4 linked regions of the Lonchura striata genome follow. The protein of the gene in region 1 purifies or fractionates together with the protein of each later gene. This does not show direct contact. Links are inferred from orthologs where the notes say so. Each region holds a gene or a part of one and is shown in the gene's direction. Other genes may lie near its edges. The genes, in order: PPP2CA, CCT8, INTS12 and INTS9.

Region 1 (7,720 bases):
CATTGTGTTTGAGATTTCACAGAAATTACTTGTTCAGTCCCTTTTTAATATGTTGCAGCTTAAAACCCCCCACATCTTACAAGTCCTACATTTTTCATATTCCTAAAACCAGCTATCTGAAAGCCAGAAGCAGTGGTTTCTCCACTGGGTATTGGCATAATAAGCAAAGATATGTATCTATCCCATATCTAACACAGGAAACCTTATGTAGGAATTGTCCATACAAGGCATGTGGGATGTGCCAGGTTTGTGCCTCTTACAAAAAACGCACTTGGGATCACATTATCGCCATGACAACTGCTTGTACGTATTAATAATTTGTTGTGCACTTAAACATAGCTTATGGAAAGGACTGAATAATAGGAGTTTTTCCAAAGAAAGCACTTGTAACACAAGCTGTGCTGATCCAAGCCTTACACCAGCAATCAGCGAGCCTGAAACCTCCCAGCATGAGCTTAGCAGGACATTTCACAGATGCTTATGTTATCTGTTTAAAAGGAAGGAATTTAAGGATGGGCCCAAGTATCTTTTGAACTGGGGTCTCTACTCGAGACTCTCAGTGCTTCTGTCATGTTTGGAAAGTGAGCTAATTTCAGTATCTGTTTCCTCATCGGGCTGAAATCATGTATTTGTCCATCTGGCGATAAAGTGATAGTATTTGTCCTGGCTGAGGTGGTGTTTGTCCAGTATTCTAGAGATTAAAACTGGTAGATGATAGTAGGAGGAACGTGGCCCTGCACTCAGGTGCACAAGGATGTACCCGCTGCTCCAGTGCTCCTACCCAGCCAGGCTGGACACAGAGAGTTCAGTGCCACAGTCATGAGACGAGAGCAGGAAAAAAAAATACTTGGGAAATATTAAGCCCCTAACATTGGAGAATCAGCACTCTATTCCTAGCTTTTAGAAGACTCTTGACTGTGAAATATCTGTAACCATAGTGATTTGAAAATGTGATTTTCATGGTTACTCTGTAATTTCTTCTTTCAGTAAGACACTGCACTTCCTGCTTTATCTACCACACAAGCGTGAATGATGAACTAGCAGATTTCAGCAATATGTTTTGTGGCATGCAAGGTGATTAATAATGAGATTCTATCTTTTACAGAAGCCATTCTGTTGAAGTGAGTGGGCCACTGTTCACAGTGGTATTATTGATGTCACTGATTTTGTGTACTATCTGGACTCTGAAATTAGTCAAATATACAAAAATAGTATTTGCTTGTAATGATGTAATAAATATCTGATGTAAAAGTGTTCTGCTTTTCTTTTGGTCTTTTGCATCTTTAAGATGACAGGTTTATCTGATTTAATGAGACTATTAAGACACAAAACATATATTTTATTCAGCAGTGGACAGTATCTGAATATGCAAGAGATTTCATGATGTGTACTTCTGAATTTATTTGATCAGAAGTCCCTTTCCTCCTAGAGGCAGTTGACTTCCACACTAATGTACCAGTGTCTATATTCTTTGCTTGCAGAAATACATGTCTTAATCAAAGTTGGCAGGTCTACATCTAAACGTGGCAGCTCATTGTTACACCATTGTATAGCCTTTAAATTGTACAGTATAGTCTTTATATTGTATTGCATAGCCTTAATTCTGCATTTAGTATTAAAAAACCATAGCAACAGACATTCTGGACGTGCATTGATGGATAATTTAGAATCACTAAAATATTCAAAGAGAGAGTCAGGTGTGAAGGAACTAATTTACGTGTTCCTTACTCTACAATGCTAAGTTGACAATACGTTGTATAGTTGGACGGTGCAATATAAATCTACATAAATCTGCATTTAAACACTGATGTCTCATAGTACAATGGAAATGTTGGTGTTACAGATGAGATTATTGCAGTTGCTAACACCCTCATCCATGAGTTTCAGATTAATTTCAGACTAGTAGAGAATTAGTTGGCACTATAGGCTAACAGCTGAATAACCTACAGCTGGATGTGTGTAAACAAAAGTGCAGTCAGCCTGACCAGTTCACCTCTCTCCAGAATGTCACACATGTGACACATTGGTCCCTGACTCAGGTGTCAGCACACGAGTGTGGCCTCCATAGCCCTGACTCACTGGGGCAGCCACACCCAGGCAGCTCCTTAGGTACAAACTACTCACATGCCAGGCATATATTCACATACTAAATACGATTTATTACTGCCATCTCACAGGTTACAGTTTAATCTTACTGTGTATCTGAAGCCCTGACAAACACCCAACTTATGCAACACAGCACGTATCCTTTCATAATTAGATTCTCCTCTGAAGGCTCAGATAAATATCTAAGAGAAAAGCAACTGTGATTCTCTAAACAAATGATTGTCATTCTCAAGTCAGAGGGAGGAAGGAGATCTGATTTCTGATCCACATATAGACAATTCAAAAGAGTAGGAGGATAAAATACAGTATGAGGATAAAATAATGCTTGGAATGGAGATGGAAACCAAAGGTTTCCCCTTCTCTGTGTGTCCAGATAAATGAATCCTGAATTTCCTTTGCAGAGTCCTGAATTCTCCTGTAGTGAGTGGCACAGCTTCAGCTTTCAGCGACAATCAGGGAGTGCTGAATCATCTACCCCTTCCCAAGTGGAGTTTCTCTAAAAAAGAGCTGTATCACTGAGCCTTTTCAAGTGTTCCTTTCTTTACCACTACGCTCCTGGGAACCATCACAAGTGCTCTGAAGACAGCAGTGATTGTTAATCTGTGAGGCGTCCAGCCTGGTCCACACTAGCAGGAAGAAACTATTAACTTGGCTTGTTTGCCTACAAAACTGCAACTGAAATCCTGCCATGTTTTATCTGGTAGGTGAGAGGAAAGCACAGCTCGTGTAGATGGTTTGAAGTGTGATCCTCAAATATGTAATTATGCCAGAAAGTCAACAGTTATTAAAGAAAATGAACTTTAACTTGGCAAATTACACAAGAGTTGATGTTATTGTTTCATATTCTTTGCATATATTTTGCTCAAGACTATTTTGGGAAAATGTGCTGCAGAGTGAATTCTTGAAACCTATCACTTCTCAATGAATGGTACTTTTCCTTCTACAACTTTAAGCACAAAACTAAGGTCATCTGAAGATGGCAACCTATGTGAGAACAGCAAAATTATTTTGGAAGATAAACAAAACCTAAGTGAGGCAATTCAAACCAACTGATGTCTAGCAGGAGAGTATGACACCAAGAAACCGAGACTGACCCATGAAAGCAAACATTCCTTACCCCTTGCTCACTATGGAATTCTTAATTTCCTTCAATAATAGGCAAAGAATTTAACAAGTCAGACTCCATACTACGCAAGTGATGACCAAGACAATTAACACAAATTAACTAGGAAAAGTCATTGTGCCCTCTTGAAATTAGGAAATCAAGATTTTATCAACATTTTGACCCATTTAAGTGAAAAAATATTAAACTGATATTTTCATGCCTTTTGTAAGTTATTTAGGTGAATCTTCCTCTATAATTTAAGATGCAGATTGCAATAAAATACATAATTCATTAGAAATTGGTTCTGCCTATTTCCTACATTCTTTTTAATTGCAATTTATCTGTGTCTTACTGAAATATTTTCCCTTAGGTAGCAAGTGTCTGAGTACAATAAGGTAGCTAAGGTCACCGCTAGTTTCCTGAAAAAATACCACCTTCCTGAAAGTTTCCTGAAAGGTCTACCACTAATTTCCTTTACTGAACACTTACACTGCAGTTCATTCATAGATGCTGTCTAAAAAGGTCATTATAAACGCTGGACTTCCAAGAACTCTTTCAGTATAAATTGTTTTAAAGAAATGCAGCACAGCCTTTTTAACCTAAGCACTACCTGGTGGTACAATTAAGATAGTATTCAATGCTCATGATTTAGAACTGAAAGCTTAATTGCAGAGTAGCCAACAGCAAGAATTGTTCGGGTCGGAACGGAGATCAGCCAGTCCGACCCTCGGCCAGGGCCGGTCACCTGGAGCAGGGGACACAGGAACGTGTCCAGGGCGGTTTTGAAAGCTTCCAGAGAAGACTCCACGTCCTCCCCGGGCAGCCCGTTCCGGTGCTCTGCTACACACAGCATAAAGTTCTTTCCCGTGTGGAAGTGAAACTTTCTGTGTTTAGTTCACGGGGAGCGCTCCTGTCCTGTCTCTCGGCACCCGCCTCGGAGATACCTAGATGCATTAATTGCAGGGAGAACCACAAACAGTGCCGCACAAAACGCTCGCCAACATCGTCTCCCGACCCGGCAGCAGGCGCTTGGCAGCCGAGGGCCCTGCCCGGCCTGCGCCCCGGGAGGAGCCGGCGCGCAGCACCCGCGCACGGGAGGGGCCGGCACCGCCATGCCGGCGACCCCTCACGGCAGTGCCCTGGCTCCCGCCGCGCCCCTCAAACGGACCCTTCCGTGGGGAGAGGGCCAGCCCCCGGGGGCGCAGGAGCAAACCCGGGAAGGAGAACGAGAACCGAGACGGAGGAGAACCGGGACGGAGAACAACCTCCCGCCGCTCCCGGGGCGCGCTCACCGCCCTCACCGCCCCCTCCCCTCAGAGCGCACTCGCGGCCCCGCCCGGCGCCGCGCACGCGCCGTCGGCTCCCGCGGCGTCCCCCTCCCCGCGGCGGGGCCGGGGCGGTGACGTCAGCAGCGGCGGCCATTACACGGTGCGGAGCGAGGAGCGGCAGCGCTGCCGCAGCCGGAGCGCCCCGGGCCGCCCTCTCCCCGCGCCCGCCCGCCCGCCCTGACGCGTCGCGGCCGCCGCCGCCGCTGTGGGGAGCGCGGATCGCAGGGGCCCGCGGGGCGGTGCGGCAGCAGCAGCCGGTGAGGAGGAGGAGGAGGAGGAGGGGGAGAGCGGGATGGAGGAGAAGGTCTTCACCAAGGAGCTCGACCAGTGGGTGGAGCAGCTCAACGAGTGCAAGCAGCTGTCCGAGGGGCAGGTGAAGAGCCTCTGCGAGAAGGTGAGCGGCGAGGGGCGGCGGGGAGGCGGCGGGCCCGGGCAGGGAGCTGCGGGCAGGGGCGGTGCCGGTGCCGCTCGGCCGGGCGGGCCGGGGCCGGGGCCCGGCGGGGGGAGCGGGCCGGGAGCCGGGGCCGGGCGAGCCGCGGCCCCTCGGCTGTGCCGGAGCCTCGGCTCCGCCTCCCGCCCGCTCAGCGCCTCCTAAAATGGCGCCGCGGCCGCGATGGATCCTCGGGAGAGACCCCCGAGAGACCCCCCCGGTTAAAGCACTAAATCAGCCCCCAAAAGCGTGAGTTAGTAAAATGAAAATAAAAGCTTGTGGTAGGCGCTTGGAAATTACACGCGGTAAAGAGCTGCTTGCTTTGATTTTTTTCTTGTATTTTTCATTATATGAATAAGCGCAGACACGTTTATAACTAATTGAAGGGTAGATTAGCTTTGGGGTTTTGGTTTCCCTCAGTAGGGTTCTGGGTTTCACGAAATTCACAGAATAAACATTCGAGTTCCAATATAATTTCGTATTTCATGGTGATGGTTTGAGACGTGGATATTACAGGGCAATGTGTTGATTGAGACATTCATAGCTTAGAAAGGTTGTAAAGCCAACCTAGGACAGATTGCATTTTGGAAATGCAGGAAAATTTTGTTTTGATATAATCCAGAGGCATTTTCCAGTCGAATTCTGATTCTGGATGTAACGTAATAGTTGAGGAGTGGTGGTGGTGGTTTTTTTGGTTTTTTTTTTTTAATTACTGATGATTTTAAGTATTTCTAGACTGAAAGATGGTATATTTATAAATTTTTTGGGAACTGGATATTAAGGAATATATGAAGTGATGGATGTACTGGCTTCTAAAGAAGCTTATGTACATGCCACAGAAAGTACCTAGAATATTTTAATATTGGAATCATGTTTTCACATACTACACCAGGTTGTTTTGGAAGCAAATTGATTTGAGATCACTGTCCATGAACTTAATAAAGAACTTGCAGTGATTTTGGCCAGACCAGCTCTTGCTCCAGTACAGATTTTAGTTCACTTGTATTCCAGCAACTCAACAGTTTCCATTTGGTCCAGGCTGTGTGTTTTAAAGGCTGTTGCAAGCGAGTGGCAGTGTCACCGCCTGGCTATTTCCATGTGCGTCTCCAATGACGGCGGTCCAGCTGCTTCCTTGTATTGCTTTCTGTGAGAGGCAAGTATTTCACTTACCATCGTTTATAAACTGATGGGTACTGAGTCCTGAATCCCACAGGAGTGGGTGCATATGGCCCCATTTTGTGGGGTTCTGTGGTAACTTGCAGGACCATGAGGGATGTATAATGTACAAAAAGTTTTTGATGTACTGGGGGTTTGGTTCAGTGAGAAGCAGGCATACCACAAGACATTCCTTTCAGAAGATACAGTCCCAGTCATCAGTGTTGCACAAGATGACATTATCATTTTTTCCCAGTGAAGAATGGAAATGAGCTGCATTTATGGATAAATGTGCAATGCTCATCACCAGGATGATGGTAAAGGAAAAAAGCAAAGAAAACTTGGTGTCTGCTTCTGTGTGTTGAGATGAGAGACCATGAAACTGGAAGAGAAATCTGCCAATCGCAATGTTCTTTGGCAGCAGCCTTCACGTTGGCTGGGCTGGCTCTAGGGGAGCTCTGGGTGGGGTAGCAGTTCTCTCTGTGTGCCCAGTGTGTGGTCAGCACTGTGCAGAGTTCAGCCACCGGGCTGGTGATGTTAGGGAAAGTTGATTTGTTGCTGATAACTACAGGTGGATTTACTTGGACTTTATGCTAAGAGTAGTTAAGTTTGTTCATGGTTGCTGATGGAAGGAGTTGGAAGTAGGCCCTTGAACTCTGAGTTTACCATCTTCTTTTCTCCACTGTGTTCATGGAGGTGGGATGAGAGCTCAGTTCGGCACCTTTGTTCTGATGGACAGCACTTGCTTTAATGTGTTTCCATGTTCCCAGCACTGACTTTCAGAAATCTCACTGGATTGTTCTTTGTTTGGGCTATTTAAGTAGTTTTGTGCATATAATCACATCAAAAGGCTGGTTTTCATGAATAGCTTATGGACAGTGTCAAATGCAGCTATTGTTCCAAAGCACAGATAAAGACGCTACTTAGGTATAGAGTGTTGTTCTTCACCATATTGAATTACAACTGGGGCTAGTTAAAATAAACAATATATAAAAAAAAGAGGGCTTTTCCTGATAACACTTTTTGATTGGATGATCTCCCTGACAAGTATTTCTTGATCTGCTGGGGCTTCCTGTGTGCAGACTGGTGCCTCTCTAATGAGAATAAGCCTAAGGGCTCTCTCGTATTTCAGTATTGATAACTGAAGAAATTAACAGGTTTTTATAAACATAATAATTGTGGCCATTTGTGCATCCCAGTTACTTTCTTGGTGTGTCTTCCACTGAACCTGGTTACCTGGGTGATGGTGGTGGTGGGAACTGGGCAGAAACATCTTTGAAGTCTAGAAGTAATTTGTAACCATGAATAATACATTATACTTTCACAAATGATTTGAAATAATCAACCTCTGAGTGGCAGTTAAATAATTCTAGGCTTAGTACGTGCTGCGTGTTTAATGTTACATCAGTTGAGTAGCCGATTGTGTGTGTTTTGCTTCAGCATTTGAGAAATGCAAGTTCTAAAGAAGTGGTCAAAATATACCCAGTCCAGTTACTGTTACATGTCAGCAGTGTTTGTCCTGTTAGTGCTGAATTGTTTATTGGCAGAGGTGAAAGGAAGTCCTTTATTGCCAGGTGAGAGGTTTTCTACTGGCCA
Region 2 (7,147 bases), on another chromosome or scaffold:
CTCCACTTCCCCTTGATTTGATGAAGTTGTAAACTGTGATGAGGTCTCTCCTCAGTCTTCTCCTTGATGCCCATGTCAACAGAACTAAGAACCTGGGCCATAAAGACGCATAATAAACATTTAAACAGTCACTTTACTGTACTGTGTTAAAAAAAAAAAAAAAGAAAAAAGGAAAAAGGATGCTTAAATACATTATGGATAAAATCTATTTTTGATAAGCAATGAACACCTAGCCTGCAGAGTGACTAAGACAAGCAATACTGATGATAAAAACGAGTTTGGACAATTGTCCTTCAAAAGAAAAAAGGCAGAGATTTGTTTATGGCTAGATTACTGTTTCAAGAACCTTAACCTCAGTACAGGGTTTGAAACGAAAGCTGCCTGATTCTACTGAGTCATGGAATCAATATGGTTGACCTCCAAGATCATTGAGTCCAACATTTGACTGACACCACCATGTCACCTTCAGCTTGGAACTTCAATGTCTGGTGACATCCTTTAGCTAATATCAGTGAGCTTGGGGCTTAACAGCAGGATATCACCTTTTTTGTTGTTGTACTTATTACAACACTGGTACATTCACCTATTTTGAAGGTATATTAGAAAATGTTGTCTGCTCATTCCTTATATGTAAACTGTATTGCACTACTTAAATGATACCTTGGGTTAACTGTCTGTAATGATTATATATATATATATATATATACATCACTTTATTTTTAAAAATAAATAGTACAGTCTTCAACATAACAGGTTTTTTTAGGCAGTGTGTGTGACAGCTATAGTGGGTCTATAAGCTGCACAGATAATTTGGCTTAAGAGATACCAGTTTGACTAACTAGGTGGAGTTGAGACCCATAGCCAATCATGTCAATCAAATCATAATGAGGACAATATGAGAAACAAAATTTTTAGTTACTTGGGGAAGGCCTTTAATATTATTTAGGCAGATAAACAAAGTACTAAACATTGGAAAAACCTCTGTCTCTATCCTGAAGATGTAGTACTGGTTTTGACCAGCCTTAGAAAATTCCAAATTGGGCATCAAAGTCACAATATGACAAAATGAAGAAAGAAGATCACGGATGTCAGTGGCTCAGACACTAGACAGCATAAATTGTGGTCTTGAGCTCAGAATCCTGCCTTTTGAGCTACCTTTTTTTTTTGATTAGTGTTTTCAGAGTTGAAAGAAATGCAAATTGGGTGTAGTAGCAGCTTGTTTCCAGAAGCTGCAGATAGATGTTATTTATTCTACTCTTCATTATTTTGTTTGGGTATTATTTCTTCAGAAGTCTTCATTTATTCAATGCCAAGTTTGCCCCTCTCTTCTGCTGTTTCCTATATTTTCCAATTACAACTTAAAACTCCTATTTCCCTCACTCCTCAGTTTGGTGTTCTCCAAGTTTCCATCAACACATAGGTCCTGGTAAGTCCTTCCCACACGACATGAACAGCTGAACCTTCAGTAGCAGTAGGCATATATTTCCAGGTATTTACAGGCTTCTGTGCACTCTACTGGATAAGAGTTCCCATATGACCAAGCTGAAAACTTAGGAAAAGTATTTCACTAGCCCTTATCTGATGCTGTATTTCATTTCCTCAAGCAAAACAGAACTCACCATCTAGAGGACATGTCATTTTTTCCCAACTAAGATTTTTTCTTATGGCAGCAAAACAGGAATGATCTCAACAATTTTACCATCTCCCATGAAATAAAGGCTCTTGGATTGTATTTTGTTGAGTACCATACCAGTGTCACAACACATGTCTTGATTGTACCTGCAATACAAACTCAATATAAACAGCAGTGATTCCTTTCTCAGACTATCATCCTTTCCAATTTGTTTGTTCTGTGGAAGTTCTGAATTCTTGTCATTTGTGCAGGTAGAACTACAGAATTGTTTAGGTTTCAAATACCATTGTGTCCAACTGATCCCCAGCAGTGCCACACCCACCACTGAACCATGTCCCTCTGCCTCATTTAAAAGTCTTTTGGACATTTCTATGCTAAGGCAATACTCCTCTAAAGTGCCCAGAAATCCTTTCCTGTGACTCAAGCTAACTGGATTAGCTATAGCAGAGAGAGCATACACTGAGGTAAGAATTCCAAATGGTAAGAAAATCTTGCTTTCCTGTTTAGCTTACAATCCTCTGCACAAGTGAGAGAAGCCCAGGATAAGGGTAGTGTTTAACCCAGGACCTGTAGAGCAATGACCTAAGTAGTACTTAGCTGATTGGACATACTCTAGTTGATTAGTCTGTTCCTTCCCATCATCTTAAAAGTGACTTAAGTGTAATCTGGGGGAAAGCTAAAGTAACTGCTGCTACTGTTACTATTCTGAATTATTCTGAATGTTCAGCACTATGTGGTTCACAATTTTCTGTTTCAGGTTTAAGCATGATTCTCTGCAAACTGAGCATGGCCCTTAGCCTTCCCTCAAGGTGCCACTCACATTTTCACTGGCCAGTATTATTGGTGAAACACAATTGTCCTACTCACACTTCAGCAGATGTCTTCAAACCCTTCTGTTCCATTGCTCAGGTTCCCAGAGCTGAATAAACAAACAAAAATTAACATTCTGCCCTCCTTATGAACTTCCCAAGATCTTGTTAAAATTTTACCCTCCTAGAATTTGAGAAACAAGTTCCTACAGATAAGCCGGGGATTTCCATGTGCACAATTATAGATTTTGGGTGGTGAAAGTGCAGCTAACGGCCAATAGCCAACCCTCTGACCTTTGCATAGTCCTTTAGCATGTCAATGTCTATGCAGAAAATAAATGGATGCATAGCTAAAAAAAGATCAAGACCAAGTCAAAGTTGTGATTAGACAGTGAGTCCCAAAGAAATCCTGGCTGTAACACAAAGAGATGTTTTAGTGTTAATTCAATACAGCTTCATACATAGATATTGTCTATATTCATAGTCACAAGCATACATATATATTATGGTTTTAGTGGTATTCTGGCTTTAAAAAATGCAGGCAACACAAGCTTTGATAAAAGCACTGTGCCAAGAGGGCAGCTCAGAAATCATAGCATTGTAGACTATCCTGAGCTGGGAGGGACCCACAAGGATCACTGAAGTCCAGTCGAGTAAGTGCTGTGGAGGGAGGTATTGTCTGCTATTGGGGGGTTTCTGTGTGGGTTGCTGATTTCCTCAGTCAGAAGCATTGTTGCTGTTAGTGCTTGCTTTCTAAACTCATTGGTGTTTTCAGTAAATTGTTCTTATCTCAACCTGTGATCCTTACGTATTAAGTTGTGAAAAACGCCAGTCACTTGGTTTTTTAAAAATTTAAAAGCTTAATAATAATAAAAAGGTTATAAAAATAGCAATACAATTAGAGTAATGAAATTTAGAGTTAGGACAATTACAAGACAATAAAAAGCAAAGAATTACGGCAGTCTGGATGCTCTTGGACACTAAGTCACGAAAAGCATCCCTTGTGAACAAAGGAATAACCTTAAAAGCAATAGCCTGTTGCTTATTCATCTATCTCATACATGATGTATAAATTCCTTGCAAATTAAGAACTTTTCTGTTTTTTGTCAGCTTCTTCTCTTTAATCTTGGTGGTTCCAAAAAGACAGAGAGAAGGTGGAAGAATGTTTGTCTTTCCTGATAAGGAGGCTGTAACTTTTTATGGGCCCCCTTCGCTGACATCTCTGTGTGAAGAGTTTCTTGATCATCTCATCTTCTCGCTTGAGCTTGTGACAAATCTTATATCGCAGAATTTCTGTTTTAACATTATGTTGTAACCTAAAAACCGTATTTAACACAGTACTTAAGAGAATTAATACAGCATAACTTTCTAACACTACACACATAATACTCATTGTAACATTTGCGAAAAGCCAATCATAAAATACGCATTTTCCAACAAAGTGAAACGCTCGCCTAGAGCCTGCTCAGCTTATGACGTTTATCATCGGTGGCCATGAAAAAACCGGCGCTTTTCCTGGAAAAGGAAGCGCCGGGAACACGGAAAGAGAGAGGGAGCGAAGGCTCGAGCCCGGCGCCGCCCGCCCTGAGGGGCGGCGCGAACCCGGCGCGGCCGCCCCGCGCATGCGCAGTCCCCCGCGCCTGCGCAGCTCCCGCCGTGCCCCGCGCGCTCCCGCCCCGCGCCTGCGCAGCTCCCGCCGTGCCCCGCGCGCTCCCGCCCCGCGCGCTCCCGCCCCGCGCCCGCGCAGCTCCCGCCGTGCCCCGCGCGCTCCCGCCGCCGCAGCCCCGCACCGAGCGGAGATGGCGCTGCACGTCCCCAAGGCCCCGGGCTTCGCCCAGATGCTCAAGGAGGGGGCGAAGGTGAGGCCGGCGTTGGGTGGGTGCGCGGGTATAAGTGGGAGGGGGGTGCGGGAGGAGTCTCAGGGTAGCGGTGCGGCGAAAGGCCCGGAAGGCCGGCGGGGCCTGGCGGCAGCACGTGTCCCGCGGGGCGGGGGCCCGGGGGTTCGCGCAGTGCCCGGCCCGGGGCCGCTCTGTGGCCCCCGCGGGGACCGCCCGGCACACGCGGCCTTCCAGAAACCTCTGCGGGGCCGGGATCCCGCTCCCCGCCCTGCCCTTGGGCCGGGCCCTGCCGCTTCATCCCGCCGCCTCCGGGGATGCGACAGGGCCCGCGTTGTTCCCAGTGAAACGCGAGATTTAATAGGGAGTTTAGAATGATTTAGGCAATGTGAACATATCACATATAGTGAACATATAGTGTATGTTAGGTCGATTCTGTTGCAGATTGGTATAAATGAGAATTTATTCAGCCAGATTAAAAATAAAAATAATTTTATTAGCGGTTAAATTCTATCTAGGCAGCCACAAGGAAAGATCAGAGCCGAGCCCGGGGTCAGCGCTGGGTGTGCAACAAGGAGTCAGCCTCAGCAGAGGTTTTCCCCTGTGCCCACACACCTCCATCCTGGCACAGGCGGGTTTTATAGGGAAAATTCCGCTTGAGGCCAGGATTTCAGCAATCAGTCTTTTCTTCTATTCAGAGTCTATAGGTTAATGAGATTTTCTTTTTTGGTGATGAGGAGGAATAATTCAGTGTCTGGAGTAGGTGAATTCCCGATGAGATTTTACGGGAAGGCTGCATTCACCTGGATCTGTCTGAGGTTTTCCATGATATCCATCTTGGGCCGTTTATGCGATGATCAGCACCTGATGATCAACAAACACCTGCAGTCCCATGGAGTCTGGACATGGCTCATCTCCTGGTCGAGCCACATCCTTTTACTTGTAAATCAGTTTCCAATATACACCCAGTCTCGCCTGCAAAGGTGGGGGGGAACTAATACAAACGGGCATAATCTAACAAGTATCTAATATTACATATTTCATACAAGGAATGGTGCGAATTATATTTACTACACATAACATTATTAAACGTATGCAAAAAGAAGGGGGGCCTCTGATGGAAATTGTTGAGCTTGCTAAAGATGGGAAGCAAAAGGGCGGCTGTGCATCTGAGTTGGAAAGTTCCATAGTGAGGAAGACTATGGAAGCTTCATCTCACCGGACCCCAGGCTCATTTTTGAGACCATTGACTTAATAAAAGAACGAACTACGCAGTCACAGCTAATTTCCATATAATGCAGAGAATAGGTGGGGTTAGTTTCTGGATATGTATAGGTGATATAGAATATGCATGGATTTTGTGTATAAATAAGGGGATTGGGGAAGCTGGGGTACACAGGATTTGGGAAGATTTTGCCCCCCTGCGTGCAGCGCTGAATAAATACCTATCTACTTTACAACCCTTGATTGTGGAGTTATTACTGTGCATCACAAGAGCTCTCACAGGGGCTGGGCAGCAACTGTCAGCCGGGCCCTGTAATTGAAGCAGTTCAGAAGTATCCGGGTCGTTCTGCTTGATTTTTCCTGATACCTTTGGCAGCGATGCAGAACAATGTTTTCTATAGATTTCCTTACCAATAAATCCGGTTTTGTTGTGTTTGATGTTAGCATAATGAAGATTTTGGTAGAAGTGAAGAATTGTATCTTAATAAAGGAAAAGCTTTCTTTGAAAAGTGGGCAGAAAGCAAGCAGGTGTGGGTTTTATTTATTTTTTATTATTTATAGAATCAGCAGAAGACTTTGGCTTGGAAGGGACCTTAAAGATCATTTAGTTCCAAGCCCCATCCAGCCTGGTCTTGGACACTTCCAGGGTTGTGTATCTGCATTTTTTCTGGGAAATCTGTGCCAGAGCCTCACCACTCTTACAGGGAAGAATTTCAGGGATTCCTAACACTTAACAGAAACCTACTCTCATTCAATGTGAAGCCATTGCCCATTGTCTTGTCTCTCCAGGTTCTTGTCCAAAGTCCCTCTCTCCAAGAAAGAGGGAACATAGGAAACTTTTCCATTTGTTGCTACTTAATAGAAAGAAGAGCAAAGGTAGCAGTTCTGAAAGCCCTTTGTGTTTCGTTTTAGAATCCTTCTTGGAGCCAAATAATGGCATACGTTCAGGGCAGGGGCAGAACAGGGAAGCAGCGTGGCCTCAGTGTTAGAAAATTCAAAGCCAGAACAGCAAGAGTTGTCTTCTGCAAAACAAGGGGGCAATCTAAGATGTTTGGCATGAATTTAGAGAGTAAATATTGTTACTTTTCTCCCTTCTCTTATGGACTGCATAGTGCTTTTTATCCTGCTTTTTCTTTCTTAAGGTCCTTTCTAGTGGCCCCATCTTGTCTTAAGGTTTCCAAACTGAAGCCAGGCTGATCGCCTTCTCAAGCACAGATATTTTACTTAATCATTCTGCTTCTGAATTTTCAGATTCAGTTAACTCAGTTCTGTGTTTTGAACAGAGAATGAGTTAAATTATTTTTGTAGCATACAAAGGTGCAAGTAAAGAAACATGTACAGAAACCCTTGCCCCTCTCCAACTGGATCTTGGTTATTTTCTGCTTCTTTTTGGCATGTCACAAAACATTTTGGAAGACTGAGGGGATGCAAATTGTATTGCAAGTCAGGTCACTGTTCAGATTTTCTCTTTAGAAGCTTTTTGTGTCTACTGAGCTACCTAGTTGAGAGGGTGTATGTACTAATTCTCACTGTCTTGGGTAAGGTTTGGTGTCTATTTACACGGTATGTGAAATACCAAATGTATATTAATAAAAGACTTTGAGGGACTCAATGAATTGAGACTGATTTAATGAGATTTTACTAGT
Region 3 (7,920 bases), on another chromosome or scaffold:
CAGGTCTTCTTAAAGCCCAAGAGTTCCAAAACATCCTTTTTAGATGGATCTGCCTCAAATGTTTTCTGTATTATATGTCTTAAGACCACAGAAAGCCCAGCTCTGCAGAATTTGTCATCTTTCACGACAACAGCAGGCAAAGTGCAGCTCTGCACAACCACTGGAAGCTGACATCTGGAGATTAAGTGGACCTCAAGATCACCAGCGAGGCTTTTTGTCACACACTGATCACCCACATCTTCGCCAGTTGGCACTAAAAAAACTTTAAATAATTTGCAGTCACAATAGGATAGCAAAAACAGTGAGATAGATGTATGAAGAGGAAAGATACTATCTCTGTACTGATGAGAAAAAGCCAAATATAAATGTTCTTCAGCGACATTATCTTTCATCTTCTTCCTGAGATGAAGTTCCTGAAATAGAAATCAGAGTACGACATCCATAAAAGAATACAGAATAGAAAAAAGAAAAGAAAAAAAAAATTAGAGCACTGGTTCTTCCACTATCTGCTACAACTGATTTTAACATAAGACACTACTAAAGACATCCTGCATCAATAATTGGCAGGCCCTTAGTTAAGGGAAAAGAATGCTTTCACATCTACACTGTCTCTTCACATATAAGATCAGGAATAGGAAAATTACCTCTGTAATTTTTTTTTACACTTTAGCGTATTTCTGACACCAACCAAAACCTAAAAAAAATGTTTCATTTTCAATTTTTAAGTACATAAACATTTTAAAGCAAGTTGGGTTTTTTACATTAAAATCTTCCACAATATTAACCATGCATTATTTAAAAAAAAAACATTTCCTGAGCACATATCTACAACAGTCAGTTCTCTAATACAAACATCTGTCTTTTTGTAACTGCTAAATGGCATTTAGAGTAGGTATTTAGGCCTATTTAGGGAAATAATATTGGTTTTTGTATTAAAAATTAATCCAGAGCTGGGTGAGATAATAACATAAGCAAATAAACATTCATCTCATGATACTACATGAACACCTTAAACACACAACTACTTTAACGCAGTCAAATTCAACAATAGCAAAGCTGAAATTAATATCTTCTCAGTATATTAAAAACTCACATTAATTTTCCTTACAGTGGGTTGCAAGCTACATTTTTCCTACTACAGTATTCCACGGGAGTTTAACACAAGGCGCTGAAGCAGTAATTTTTCTACTCCATCGCTCAGCAGAACTGCCCATTACCTGAGATGACAGGTGGCACCGGAAAGCCTCAGACACTAGATGGCCCTCGCGGCACAAGTGACACGGGCACAGCAACAGCGCAGCGAGGAAGAGAAACCCCAACGCTGCTGAGAAACGCCAGAATAGGGTTTTATACACATATATATAAAGCATGAATGGCACTAGAACAACACTGTCTAGATTAATGAGGTCTTTGACAATTACACGCATGATACAAGTATTTTTTAAAAAAGTTTTAATTTCATACATCTTGATTATTCAATTTATTTTTTTCCATGTAGACATGAACATCACACTTACTATTTCATATTACCTACCAGAGGGCCAAAACAATTGCCCAAAAGGGGGGAGTGGAAGAATAAAATCAAGTCTACCTGACATTAAGAATACTGATGTCTGTTATAGTGAAACATTTTTAAACCACTAAATGACAAAAAAAGTGTCTCTGCTACGAGTACTGCTGCTTTTCTTTAATTAATACACTGCCACACAAAGAACAGGACAGTACACAATGCCATACCTACTTTACCACAAGATATTTTATTTGGATAAATCTTGACAACATGGAATCTGAGACAGAGCCTATATCCTAAGTACACCTCTGTGGCAGAAATCATCCAGTGAAGGCACAGCCAGAGAGGTAAATCAGAGAGAGTTATTGCTACCGTAGTCATACCCATAGCTTCTAGTATTTAAACTCCTATCCTCAACTACAGTACCTCTTGCAATATTAAAAAGTACTCTTGTATGCATTTTGGTTAATATTTTTGTTCTCCATGTGAACTCAAAGAACTCACAAGTCCATCTTTTGCTCAGCACGCAAACCACTCAGATAAACACATTCACCTGATCACTCAATTTTTTTATTCTAGTTGATGTTCCTGGACTCAATCAGCTATTTTGGTCATTCTCATGCTATGCAAAACTACTAAATATTTTGGTAAACTCTGACAAGGTTTCTATTTCCAAAGTATATTATTCTATAGTTCCCATCTATTAATCACCTGTTGTTAAAATTTATTTTTAAAAACTTCTTACAAGTAATTTTAACAAACTGGGCTTCCATAATGACTGCAACTTGATATACAGGTCATTAGAATATCAACACATTCAGTCTGGATTTATTTGAATTGTTAGTTATTGCAAAAATGTCTATGTTTCTCCACCACACTGAACAGACTTCTTTCTCAGAGAGCCTTGCAAGGTTAAAGTTTCCCGTGTTCCTGTTACACGTGAAAAAGCAAAAGCACAAAGAGAATTTATAGCTCAGTGTCACACTGGAAGTCTGTCCTAGTGCAAGCCAAAAATTTGGACATTTTTCCTTAAAGGCTTTGTTGTTTGGTTGGCTGTGAGATTTTGGGGGTTTTTAAGGTCAGTCTGCGACAATGAAAATTACAGTCAGGCTAACTGTATTCTCAAATCTCTCAGAGAAGAGAAGCTAAAATAATGTGTCCAGGAGTTCTGTCTATAAGTGACTTTACCTCTGTTTCCTCATTGTTTCCTGTAAGAAGAAAGGCCTTCTTGAATCATCACTTCAACTGAGCTGCATACCCTTATACTGCCACACCCAACCCCTCTCCCATATTTTTGGATAATTCCTCTCAACATTTTGTCTCTAAGCACTGACGTTATAAGGTCACCTCCTATATTTTTTGTTTCGAATACTGGTGCTCTTCCACACTGTTTGGTTAGACAGAATCTATATTCCTTGTGGACTTATGCACATATTTTCAATTCAAAAACTTAACAGCCTAAATGGTTGCCCATTCTCACTTAAATCTTTTCACAAAACTACTACCTATCCATTACATGTGTTTATTAATCCCTTGGCAACTTACTGAGAGAAAAGCAGACGTAGACATACACAATAAAATGAAATGTGCAATACAGAACTAACCAAACCTAGTAAGACATTGTACTGTTTGCTCACAGTATTTTTTCCCAGCACTTTTTTCTCTAATTAGGCTGTAAATTCTGTGGGAAGAGATGGATTTTTATTCTATTGGCCGTATTTACAGTAGACACTGTTTGAAAGAGAGAAAATGAAAAGCAATGTTCAATGTTACAATTTGCACTGTAACTTAAATGACAAAGATAAATAACATTGCCTACCTTTGGTATAAAAGACACCTACTTTAAAATTACAAATAATATGTAAATGTAAGTTTCACTAGCTGCGCTGTTTTTACCATTTTCTCCTCCCTTTCAACATGCTCTAAACCACAGTTAAATTAGGTCCACTCAGTTGCCCTGTTAACAACGTAATAAAGAAAAACACTGCTTTAAAAACAAGTGTTTCCCATAAAAATTAAAGACAAATAAATACATAAACATCCTCTTCCTTTTGAAAGGAAAAAGATCAAAAAGATCCTATTCATTTGTTGGTTTCTACACAGTAAAACGGAACTTCTGTAAAGCAGGCGCGTTAGCATTTGAGAAACGCTTAATATAATGCCACTTAACGCGGCAAACATTTAACTTGGTGCGAAGCATTATTTGTGCTTTAAGGCACGTCACTTGAGAGCCTGGAGCTGTATTTCTATCCAAGACGACCCATTTACTGCACGCGTTCGGGGCCAGCCCTGCTCAGAAGGGGGAAACAGAACAGCTTCGGACCCGAGCTGCAGGCGGGCCTGCGAAGGAACAGAAAGCTGTGGTCGGTTCTGGAGAGCCAAATGCGGGCGGGACTCGGGGACAGGGCCGGGACACGGGGACAGAGCCGGGACGCGGGGACACGGGGACAGAGCCGGGACACAGGGACAGAGCCGGGACACGGGGACAGGGCCGGGACACGGGGACAGAGCCGGGACGCGGGGAACAGAGCCGGGACGCGGGGAACAGAGCCGGGACACGGGGGACAGAGCCGGGACACGGGGGACAGAGCCGGGACACGGGGACAGAGCCGGGACACGGGGGACAGAGCCGGGACACGGGGACAGGGCCGGGACACGGGGACAGAGCCGGGACGCGGGGTCAGAGCCGGGATGCGGAGACAGAGCCAGGATGCGGGGGACAGAGCCGGGACGCGGGGACAGAGCCGGGATGCGGGGGACAGAGCCGGGACGCGGGGACAGAGCCGGGACGCGGGGACAGAGCCGGGACGCGGGGACAGAGCCGGGATGCGGGGGACAGAGCCGGGATATGGGGGACAGAGCCGGGATACGGGGACAGAGCCGGGATACGGGGAGAGCCGGGATGCGGGGACAGAGCCGGGACACGGGGAGAGCCGGGACGCGGGGACAGAGCCGGGATGCGGGGGACAGAGCCGGGATATGGGGGACAGAGCCGGGATACGGGGACAGAGCCGGGACACGGGGAGAGCCGGGATGCGGGGACAGAGCCGGGACACGGGGAGAGCCGGGATGCGGGGGCCAGAGCCGGGACACGGGGACAGAGCCGGGACACGGGGACAGAGCCGGGATACGGGGACAGAGCCGGGACTCGGGGACAGAACCGGGACACAGGGACAGAGCCGGGATTCAGGACGGCAGCACACGCCTGGGCTCCCGCAGCACAGCTCCCTGCAGCCCCGCTCCCTAAAGCTCTGCTCGCAGCTGCTGTCGGTGCAGCGCTGCCAAAGCAGCCCCGGGGCTCCGGCAGCGCCACGTTCCCTCCATCCTGCCCGTTCCCCGCTCCCTGCCCTTACCCGGCCCGGCCGCTTCCGTCCCGGCTCCGCCTCTTCCTGCGCCGCCCGGAACTGCTGCGCGGGGACTGCCGTGCCGCCGGACCTGCCGGGGAGCCTTCCTCCTCCTCCTCCTCCTCCTCCTCCTCCTCCTCCTCCTCCTCCTCCTCCTCCTCCTCCTCCTCGTCTCCGGTGAGACACCAGCGGGCGCGGAGAGGGAACTCGAGAGGATCGGGAAGAGGAAATTTGGAGTGGGAAGGGGGAAGGAAGAGGGAGACTGGGAGGGGGCAGAGAACGACTGGGAGGATGAAGGCAGAGGGGAGTTGAGAGAGGGAAGAGGGGGTTTGGCAACAGGAAGAGGGAATTTTGGGGTTGGGAGGGGAAGAGGGATTTAGGAGGAGGCAAAGGGGGTTTGGGAACGGGCAGGAGGAGGGAGATGGCGAGAGAGCAGAGGGGTCTGGGGAGGAGAAAAAGAATTTAGGAGAGGGGAGGAAGAGCAGGTTTGGTAGCGGCAAGAGGCATTTGGGAGGAGAAAAATGGGGTTGGCAGAGGACAGTGGGGGTGAGCATGGATGGGAGAAATAGGATGTTGGCAGGAGGGAGGAAGGGGGAGCCCTTAGGCACACCCGGCCGCTCTTCCCCTCGGGCCCGGGTGAGCTTTGGGTGCCCTGTGGGGCAATAATGGTTGTAGGAGGATGGCATTTTATTCTTTTAAGCATTCTAAAGTGTTGCTCTCAGATGAGAGGCCTTCCCTTCGTTGGTAAAAAGAAATCCCAGGGAGAAATTTGCAGCGAGTAGATTGCGGAGGGTCACGTCGTGGCTTTGGCGTAACTGCTTCAGAAATTCATTTTTGACTAAAGCTTGCTTCTCTCTCTGAGACATGATACCCAGGAATTTGTACACTTGATAAGTTTCAGTGTGGATGTTGAATAATGCAAAGATGAAAAGATAGAGAGGTGTACTCAATTGGCCAGTGTTTTAAGCCAATGAGCACTGGCATGTTGAAATATCCTCGGGTCCATTTTCTGCAGAATATTGAAGCTCAGTGGTAGCAGGGCTTAGCAAATCTCAGTTGTGCAGGTGCAATTATCACAAAATATCCTGAGTTGAAAGGCACTCACAAGAATCATACCATTTATCAGGAAAGGGATTTACAAGGAAACATCACCACTGCTGCATGGAAGAAGTTTGTTAGTGACAGCAGACACAGATAAGGGTCAAACAGTTGATGTCTTCTTTGTCACAGACTTGACCTGTAAGGTCTCACAGGGCCTTTTGCCACAAGGCAGAGCATAAGGAGAGGAGGAACTACAAGTTGTGGAAGAGGATTGAAGCAGATTGTCCCTGATAAGTCCATAGGCCCACGTAGACTTCATTAAAGGGTGCCAGCAACTGGCAGCATCTACACAAAGCTGCTTTCTGTCATCTTTTAAAGGCCACGAGACTGGGGGAGATCCCAAAGACAGGAGAAAGGCAAATCTTATCTTCATAAAGGGCAAGAAAGACAAAGAAGAGAACTACAGACTGGTCAGCCTCATTCCTTCCTCCTGTGAAAGGATCGTGGAGGAAGCCATTTGTGGCAAAAGAAGGTAGAAACTGGGAAGAGCCAGATCTACCAAGGATAAATCATGCCTGATCAATTGGCATGTCCTCTGTGACTAAATAGCTAGATCTGGAGATGGAGGGTGTGTTGGATACCATCTGCTCCGGGCTTAGGGGGATATAATGGAAGCTTGAATTTTCTTGAGGGTATTATTGGAAAGATATAGAGCCAGTCTTCATAGTCACATGCATAGTGGGAGAATGAGAGACAGCACAACTTAAAACCTCCAATTCAAAGCAAGGAAATGAAGGCAGTGAGGCATTGGGACAAGTTGGCCAGAAGGATTTTTGCATTCGTGTCTTTGGAGATTTTCAGGATCCAGCTGGAAGAGCCCTGAGCAAACTGGTCTGAATTCAGTGTCAACTTTGCATTGAACAGGAGGTTGCACAGGGTGACATTGTGGGGTCCCTTCCACAAGGAATGATTCTGTAATCCTGAAAGAATTCACTGTTTTTGTGGAGAAAACAGAAAATATAGGGCATTAATGTAATTTTTAAAATATTGGATAAGCTGTTTGTGGTGATATTGATTGGAATACTAATTTAAAAGAACATTATAAAATATGTTGTAGAATAGAATGTAAAATTAAGGATGCCAGTACTAGTAACTCCATAGCAGGAGATCTTATAAGTGTCTCAAAAGATTCTTTGAAGACAATGACAAGAAAATTAGAACGGATTAATACAATTGTTCTCATTAATACAGTTATCCAGACTACTGAAGTGCGTGAGTTTTGAAATGTCCCTTGTGGAAAGTAACTGAGAAATTATCCTGTCATAAATCAAGTGCTGATTAAGATAGTTAAGCAGCTGAAAATAGAAGTTAATTTTTTCCTCCTTTTAAGATTTTCCTAGATCTACTTTCTTCAGAATCATCAGATCTGAAAGTGACCTGGAAGAGGCATTATTGGTAAATAAGGAAAATCTGCCACTGTCGCTGTTAATAGATGTAGTCAGGAAGAGGGTAAATTCTGAGGAATAGAGGGATCCAAAGTGACAGGGAAAAGTGAATTGTTTTTACAGTGGTAAATGAAAAATAGTGCAGTGAGTGTGTTGGAAGGAATTATATAAGCTGTTCGTTCATGTGACTTTTTTAAGGTAACTGCTACAGATCTTGAAGGTCGCTGAAAAGGATATGTGAGTGAAAGGCCTTTTAATCATAAGTGGCAGTAAAAAATAAAAATATTGATGAGTTTATAAAAGGATGGCATAATAGCAGAAGACTTTAATAGCATTGCAATATAAATAGAAGATGTGTACTTTCTTTGAAAAACATCTTTAGTAGTATACGTGCCTCAGAAAATAATAACAGGAGTTCAGAAACAGATGGTTGAAAGTATGACTGTATCTGAAAATGTAATGGAAGTAGATCCATTTAGCTGCAAGTCATGATGAATAAGATAATACATGGGCAGGTGTGCAAAACAGTAGATGGCAAATGAATGAAAAAAAAAAAATAAGAGGGCTCCTACACCCTATA
Region 4 (7,737 bases), on another chromosome or scaffold:
AGAAAAAAAACAAAAAAAACTTCAGGCGATAAAGTTTGAAACTGGAGAAAAGAGAAATAATCTCTAGATGTTATTTTTAAAATGTCAAAGCTAGCCAATTAATGAGGGGAGGAAGAAAAACTGATTAAAGCCCTGACAAACCCTTGAGATCACAGACTGATTGCGAGTTCTGCTGCGGACTCCCTGTAGGAACCTGGGCAAGTTGATCCCTCTACACCTTTGTTTGCCACCTGCGAGAGGAAAAATAGCACTTTCTTTTCATATCCTGTCATTCTTGCTTGCATTGTTCCCCAAATTAAAAGCATTTGTCAAAACACTTATCTTTAGCATTAACCCTGGGAATTGCATTCACAGCTACCACACAACCCGTTTGCATGACTGAGTGCTCAGACACAAACTCTTAGTACACTTTGTTACCCAGCCATCCTAATTTAATACAAATCAGAAGGGAGCTTTAGTCAATACAGGAATATTAGAATGCTAAAATATAGTTTATTACTAATCCTACAAATAAAACCAGCTTTAGGGTTACGAGTTACACTGACCCCCTCCTGGAAAAAAAAATCAAATTCTCCTCATTATGTCCTAAAAATCCTGCTGTAATCACAGTATTGGTCTCACTGCATTGATAACCCACCAGATCATATTATCAGCATAGGTATAATTAAAGCCCAATCCCATGAGGACATGTATGCAGAATCCAATCCCCGCTCTGTTAAAATCAGCATAATGTGAAATAAACTTCAGGGACTTTAGAATCAAAGCTGCATGAAGTTATCGACAGGAGGAACAAAGACATCTGTCTTTTTGCAGTGAGATTCTTAAGCTGACATTATTTTGATTTCAAATTCTAAAACTTTGCAGATGAAAAAGATTTGCTACAGATGCCAATACTGTAGCCTGTCATTCTGTAATGTCCTTAAAAGCTCTGCACAGAAATTGCTGTGAAGTACAAGTTGCTTTCTTTAGATTAAAATGTGCTGCTGTTTCCTGAAAATTCATTTGGTTTCTAACATATACAACCAAATACCTTCCCCAATCCCTTGGTACAAGGAACAGTACAGCTTCCTCCTTTCTCATGGTTCAGTTTCATTAATTTTCCCAATTCTCCACCCAAAGACCCAAATTTCACCCCTGCCCCACTGACACACAACACAAAATGAGCAATCCCAAAAGTGAACGACAGAACAATTCTTGACAGTCACGCTTAAAAAAAATACATTTTATTAAAAAGTAAATTAGTATTAAAAACAAATTTCAGAGCCTCACTCTTCCCAAATCCAGACAGCAATGAAAAAACATACCAAACACTCCCATGAACCTATGGATTCATCACTATAAAGTAAACACTTTATAATAATTTAATTTTCAAAACACTGCACAGCTATCAACTTTTAATATCCCTTTGTAAGAGATCAGTAAGACCCACACAGAAACTGCCTTAAAAATAAGCTCCCTGCAGCTGACAGCAGCTACAGACTCCATGGAATTATCAGAATCACAATGCTAGAGAGATGCATGTTGTCCAGAAAGGTCAATAAACCCACGGAGTTTCTTGACACCGCTCAGTGAAGCAGTTGTAGAGAAAACCAGGCCTCATTCACACAAGATTTTCTCCCAGGTTTCCTTACCCCTCCTTAAAAATCCTGCTGTTTCACCTAGGATAGCATTCCTGTAACCCAGCTGGCAGCCTGCATACCACAACGTCGTCTAGACCTGCTGGGAACAGTGGGATGACACAGGAGTAAAAATGCTGATGCCTGTTCTGGTGCTTGCACTGGTGCTGAGGGAACGAGGGGAGGAAGAACAGGCAGCACGGAGTGAAACACAAGTTCCTTGCTCCCAGCCTCCTTCCCAGGCTCCTCGGGTAATTCTTTCAACCAGACAGAAAAAGTTGTGGCCATCACAGGGCTAAAAGAATAATCCTCACATAAGGGAAAAAACATTCCCAAACCCCAGTTTTCACATACAGAAACAAACCCTGCTCTTTCCCAGACATGCAAATAACAAATGCATCCCTGCACAGACGTTTTCCATCCCTTTCCTCCCTCTCCCCCGTCTCCATCTCAGAGATGTTTTCTTAGCAATTTGGAAGAGAAATGGTAAAAAGGGAGATGCGAAACACAGAAATAAATTAAGTTTGTTCTCTGCTGTTGACGGATTTGGTCTTAGCACGATGGGAGGAAAAAAAATATTAGGAGTGATAAATCCATATATACCTACTCCAAACTACACCCTGCTTCCCAAGGGACACGGTATAATGGTAAATAAGTATAGATGCAGTTCCTACTAATGAGGCAGGGTACAGCAAGGCCAAAGAAAATGCAATCATCTCGGGGAAAAAAAAACTGCACAGGACTCCTCCTTTCCCATCCACGGAGGAAATCAAATGCCAGCTGCACCATCCCAGGAAGGAAGCAGAGCCTGTACCTGATGAGCCCTGCAGAAATGAGCGAGTCATATCACGGGACCAGAGCAGGCACTTCAGGCTTTCACCAGCCCAACAATTGTCTGCAGAGCACAATTCCTAGCTCCGGTATTTTACATGGCATCATTTATACAAATTGCAGGGGTATTTTTCCCCAGTGTTTTAGTTTTTCATTCCCTCTATCTCCACTAGTTAGAAGCAGGGGACGTAAGTAGCGTCTCCCAGATCCGCGTTCCCTGGCCATCACTTTAACGCTTTCCTCCCTACAAAGTTTAAATCTCCCCGGTTTTTTGTTCATAAACGTTTTGTACTTAAAAGCCATCGAATCACACTCCCAGAGTTACCTGAACTGAGACAGACCCGACTCCACAAACATGCTTAAACCTTCATTTCCTCTTCCTTCTTCCTTCCCCACCCCCCAAACAGCATTTTTTTTTTGTCCCTAACACGAAAGAACTGGGGGAAAAAACAGCACGTCCAACCGAGGCTTTTCCAGACCTATCTCAAAGAACAAAATGATTCCGAAGGAGTGCTCTGCAAACATACCAAGAGGCACTCCACCAACTAGGGAAAAAAAAAAAAATGAAAGGAAAAAGAAGAAAGAAAGGAAAGAACCCATCAGACAAAACTGAGGTCGAGGAACTCGGCGGGGTCTGGCTCGGGTGTGTATTCGGCACCTAAACATACTCGCATCTTGTTTTGTTTTAACCCCGAAGCTGAGGCAAACACTCCAGCAGAATTTCCTGCCGCTTCCCCCCGACCGCTCCTGCGGTCAAACCGTGCTGACCCAAAACCATCCCGGACACGGGACACAAAACCATTCACCCGCCACCCCCGTTCCCCACCTCTTCCCAAGAAGTACAAAACAAACAAGCGTCTGACACCCCACCCAAGTTCTCCTCGCACATTTTGGGAATGACTTTCCTCCGGGTGCTCCTCCTCCCCCACCCGTTCCCACGTTAAACTCTCCGGCACACAGACACCTTTCGGGGGTTTCACGCCTTTGCCCTCCCAGAAAACCTCCCGAAGCCTGGGAACGGCAGGGTTTGGGGCACCTCTGAGCCCCGTTCCCCGACCTCCAGCGGCACAAAGCTCCCGAAAAGCAGCCGAAAAGGAGCCCCCGGAGCCCTCGAACAGCCCCAGCCAGGGCAGAGCTCCCCGGCAGAGCGAGGGGGCTCCGTAGCCGGCTCCATCCCCGATCGGAGCCTCCCTCCTTCCCCTGCCGTCCCCGGGGGTCCCCGGGACAGACAGCGCCGGGGGTCGCACCAGCTCACCCCAAAACTCCGCGGCGAGCAACACCCGAACAAACACCCCCAAAACCGCAGCACCCACCCAGGCTGAGGGGGCTCCGCGGCCGCCACTCCGTGCCCCACACCGGGGAGATGGGAGGAATCGGAATAGATATACAAATGGCAGGAGCAGCGAACCCCAAAGGCGCCCTGCCCTCCCGCTGCAGCCTCCTGGGGACACCTTCCTCCTCCTCCTCCTCCTCCCCCGATCCGGGGCACCCGCGGAGCCCCCCAAAAGCCGCGGCTCCAACTCTGCCGCCCGTGCTGAGGGGCTGCCCCTGCCCACCCCTGCCCGCCCCCGGCTGCCCCCCTCACGCACATCCCGCTCTCCGGCTCGGCGCGACTCCCGGCGGTGCGGGCGGAGGGGAGACCCCTTCCCGCTGCCCTGCCTCCCTCCAGCCCACCCACCCGCCCGCCCCCTCCCCTCGCCGCCGCCGCCGCTCCCCCCCCGTATCCCCCCGCGACACTCACCTCTGGGTGCTGCCGGCGCCTCCGCCTCACCATGGACCGGCGGAACTGGGGGGGTCCCCCCGCCCGCCCCCGCCCCAGATTGAGGGGAGATTAACGGGGGGCGCGGAGGGACGAGAACAATAGGGGGGAGGAAATCCCTCAGCCCCCCCACGCCCCCCGAGGACACAGCCCCCTCCCCGCCCGGCGCTCCTCCTGCCGCTCCCTCCTCCTCGCCCGCTCCCTCTCTTTTTTTTTGGGCTTTTTTTTTTTTTTTTTTGGCTCAATCACACCAGACCGACTGTCTTTGTCTGTCTGACAAGCGCCATGTTGATATCAACATCCGAGCCCCCACCTGCTGCAGCTGTGAGACCCTGGGACTTGTAGTTCCCCCCTCCCCAGGGTGACGGGGAGACCCGCGGCGCCGGGACTACAACTCCCAGAGAGCCGCGGGCGCGCGGCGCGCCAATGGGGCGGCGGGGCTGCGCTCGGGGCGGACTACAACTCCCAGCAGGCGTCGGGCGGCCATGACGTTATCTGAGAACGATGGGGAGGCGGGACTACAACTCCCATGATGCCCCGGGGCCGGCGGGGCGGGCGGGCAGGAAGGCGGGCAGGGTTGTCCCGGTAAATAGAACCGGTGGACGCGATGAAGCTGGTGAGTGCCCGGGGCGGGCGGCCATGAGGGCGGGGAGGGGGCTCGGCCTTCCCCCGGCGGCGGGGGGGGCGCTCCCCCGGTCGCCTCCTGGCTGCGCAGTCTCAGCCTCGCCGGGCGTGAGGGGAAACTGAGGCGCTGGAGTGGGGCCTGAGGGAAAAGGTGGGGGAGGAGATGCTGAGGGAGTTGGGGGGACTGAGGGATAAGGGGGTGATAGTGGGGCGGGGAGGGGCTGAGGGAGGGGCGGGGGTCGGCCCTGAGGTGTGGGGGAAGGCGGGGGTCGGCCCTGAGTGGGGAGGGTAAGGGGGGGGGGGGGGCGTTGCCCAAGTTTAAGGTGTTGGATAGGATCAAATCTTAGTAAGAGGAGGAGAAAATGTTTCTCAGCCTTCCCAGCCTTAAACATGAGTCTGGTTCGGAGCTGTCCCCTTGCACGTGTGGCTTCTGCTGGACTCTGCGAGGAACGTGAATAAATGCCTGTGGTTTGTGATGAAGACGTTTTCCATCTGCAGTGTGATAATACAGGGAGGTACTAACGACAACAACAAAAAAAATCAGCCTGGAACAGCTTTGCTAAGGGTGCACCTTGCTTCTGACAGGGGTTTTGGTTCTGATATTACAGTCTTCTGTCAGAATGTACATGACCCATGATATTGGTCTCCTCTCTTGAGCTGTTTCACATTCTTGGAGACCTTGGATTCAGGAGCCGATTTTTTTTCCAGGAAGAATTTCAGTTACACATAATGTGCTGCACTTCTTGGTCTGGAGGTGAAAACCCAAGCAGTTTTCAACATACCTGAGCACAACACTTGATTTATTTAATCTGAAGCGACACCATTACTCAATTTAAGATTGTCTCTTGGTTTTGAGACTGAGCAGTGTGTTATAACAAAGCTTCATAGAAGTAAATGTTCTGGTTTAAGACCTTTAGGAAACCACTCTCCGTGGAAGTGTGTACAATTAATTCCAGAGGCAGGTGGTCAAGGAGTTTGATCCTGCTTAATCTTACCTGTGTGATAAGGATCTGTGCAGGGATGGCTATTACCAGTGGGACAAAAACTGCAAAGTCAAGCACCCCTGGATGTGATTGTAGAGGCTGATAGAATTCAGTGGAAGAAAGCAAACTGGGAAATCTTTATTTAAAGACCCCACTGTAAATGGAGAGCTCTTCTAATGTTGAGAGTCTTGCATAGGGGTAGAGAGGGGAAATACAAACTCTGGAGTCTGTATTGCAACATTTTTAGCATTGTTTTTAAATTCAGGTACTGAGAATTATAAGACAAGGTATTTTACCTTATATTTTTCTGGAGATGTGTCTGAATTTGGGGTTGTGAGGAGACAAGTCCTCTTTTTTATCCTCTCTTTATCCTCTTTTCTCATAGATTTGGGTTGAATTTGGAAGAACAGGGTAGAGGTGAGGGACTAGTGGAATGTTCCCTGTCCATGGCAGAGGGGTTGGGATAAGATGAGCTTCAAGGTCCCTTCTAACCCAAACCATTCTGGGATTCTGATTGCAGATCTGATTCAGAATCTGGTGAAAACCTCAGACTCCCACAAACTCAAATGTGCTTTCACTCAGGCAATCCTCAGTGCTCATTTCCCCCCAGATTTTAAGCTGGCATGTGATACTAATACTGGAGGAATGCACTGCAGGATTTGTTTGCTTCACTTGGAGTTCCAAGCACTGCCTTTAACCTGCACAACTCTGAATGTTTTGGAGCTGCAAGTTTGAGCCACCATCTCTCTGCTCTCCATGAGATGCACATGGAATGGGATGTGTGTGGAGAACCTGCCCCTCCCAGGCCCTGAGCATCTGGAACCAGCCCCTCAACCACTGCCCCACTGCCAAACTTTCATCCAATTTGCAAATCCTGCCAGGAAAGCTGTGAGCTGGGTATATTTATGCCTTTTACGTATTTTGTGTCTTTTTTTAACTTTTGGAGTTAGGAGATGAGGCACCTTTGTGTGTTGGCTGCACCAGCCTTTAGCCATAAGGGAATCAAGCTAGAAGCAAGCAAATCTTGGAATAAAAAACTTGCATTTTAATCCAGTCAGGAATATGAAAGCTCTGGATCTGTTTTAAATAGTAACAAGTATAAACTGTGTGGAAATTATCACATTTATAATGTGTATAGAGACACACATTGTGCAAACACTTCCATTCCTGGATTCCTGATCCAAAAGTCTAACAGGGGTGCAGGCCCAGCAATGTCACTTGTGCAAACAGCTGTATAGAAAATACAAATTGCCTTTTTTATTTTTCTGTCACTGTCTTTGAATCTGGTAGAAAGAATCCATTGACTCCCAGGAATCCATTTGCCTCAGCAGACAGCCACGGAGAGAGATGACTTTAGCTGCTTTTAAAGAAGGAAAAAAGAAAGATTTTCCAGTTAGGTCATAGATGTCAGGGTAGTAATACTACTCATGATTACAAAAAAAGGCAAGAAAATATTTTGCTGATAAAAGTGGTGATATTTCATTGCCTTTTTTAATTACCAATAGTTTAAAAGCTACAAAAATAGAACTTATTTTTCCCTTCATTTCTTTCTATTTACTTCAATTTATAGCTTCATTTGTCAAAGTTCTGGTCTGGTGAGAACTTAATTTCACATGAGAGTGTTACATTTGTGAATAAACCAAGTGAATTCCTCACTCCTTCAGCAGCTTGGCTTTACATATTTTTTTAAACTTTACTAAAAGACAAAATGTAATGTAACTCCTTAATAATTAAGGCTTTGTGAATTTAAAGCAAAACTCTCTGTGATATTTTGAATTTAATATTTGAGGCTTAGTCAGTTTTACTATTTAAATAGAGTTTAAAGCAGGTTTTTGAGGAATGTATGTAAATAGACTTCTTGAGGGTTGTTAATCCAGACAGTTGCAGTCCTGTGTTAACATTATTGTGACCAGAGGTAGAAAAT

The links.
Region 2: the proteins of PPP2CA (region 1) and CCT8 purify together in Homo sapiens (affinity purification with mass spectrometry; 4 studies listed by BioGRID and IntAct, with this or other methods). This does not show direct contact. The link is inferred for Lonchura striata from reciprocal best matches to the Homo sapiens genes PPP2CA and CCT8.
Region 3: the proteins of PPP2CA (region 1) and INTS12 purify together in Homo sapiens (affinity purification with mass spectrometry; 4 studies listed by BioGRID and IntAct, with this or other methods). This does not show direct contact. The link is inferred for Lonchura striata from reciprocal best matches to the Homo sapiens genes PPP2CA and INTS12.
Region 4: the proteins of PPP2CA (region 1) and INTS9 purify together in Homo sapiens (affinity purification with mass spectrometry; 3 studies listed by BioGRID and IntAct, with this or other methods). This does not show direct contact. The link is inferred for Lonchura striata from reciprocal best matches to the Homo sapiens genes PPP2CA and INTS9.

What each region holds. Positions count from the first base shown.
Region 1 is NC_134617.1:9,548,287-9,556,006, forward strand, and holds the start of PPP2CA (serine/threonine-protein phosphatase 2A catalytic subunit alpha isoform), read left to right. Parts: upstream 1-4,713; 5' UTR 4,714-4,831; coding exon 4,832-4,933; intron 4,934-7,720. UniProt on the Homo sapiens protein: Catalytic subunit of protein phosphatase 2A (PP2A), a serine/threonine phosphatase involved in the regulation of a wide variety of enzymes, signal transduction pathways, and cellular events.
Region 2 is NC_134604.1:4,124,594-4,131,740, reverse strand, and holds the start of CCT8 (T-complex protein 1 subunit theta), read left to right. Parts: upstream 1-4,145; 5' UTR 4,146-4,241; coding exon 4,242-4,301; intron 4,302-7,147. UniProt on the Homo sapiens protein: Component of the chaperonin-containing T-complex (TRiC), a molecular chaperone complex that assists the folding of actin, tubulin and other proteins upon ATP hydrolysis.
Region 3 is NC_134606.1:47,849,079-47,856,998, forward strand, and holds the start of INTS12 (integrator complex subunit 12), read left to right. Parts: upstream 1-4,901; 5' UTR 4,902-5,031; intron 5,032-5,041; exon of another isoform or gene 5,042-5,490; intron 5,491-5,510; exon of another isoform or gene 5,511-6,427; intron 6,428-7,920. Other genes in the region: GSTCD (glutathione S-transferase C-terminal domain-containing protein), read right to left, coding at 1-413, 1,218-1,466. UniProt on the Homo sapiens protein: Component of the integrator complex, a multiprotein complex that terminates RNA polymerase II (Pol II) transcription in the promoter-proximal region of genes.
Region 4 is NC_134605.1:111,908,577-111,916,313, forward strand, and holds the start of INTS9 (integrator complex subunit 9), read left to right. Parts: upstream 1-4,721; 5' UTR 4,722-4,813; coding exon 4,814-4,822; intron 4,823-7,737. UniProt on the Homo sapiens protein: Component of the integrator complex, a multiprotein complex that terminates RNA polymerase II (Pol II) transcription in the promoter-proximal region of genes.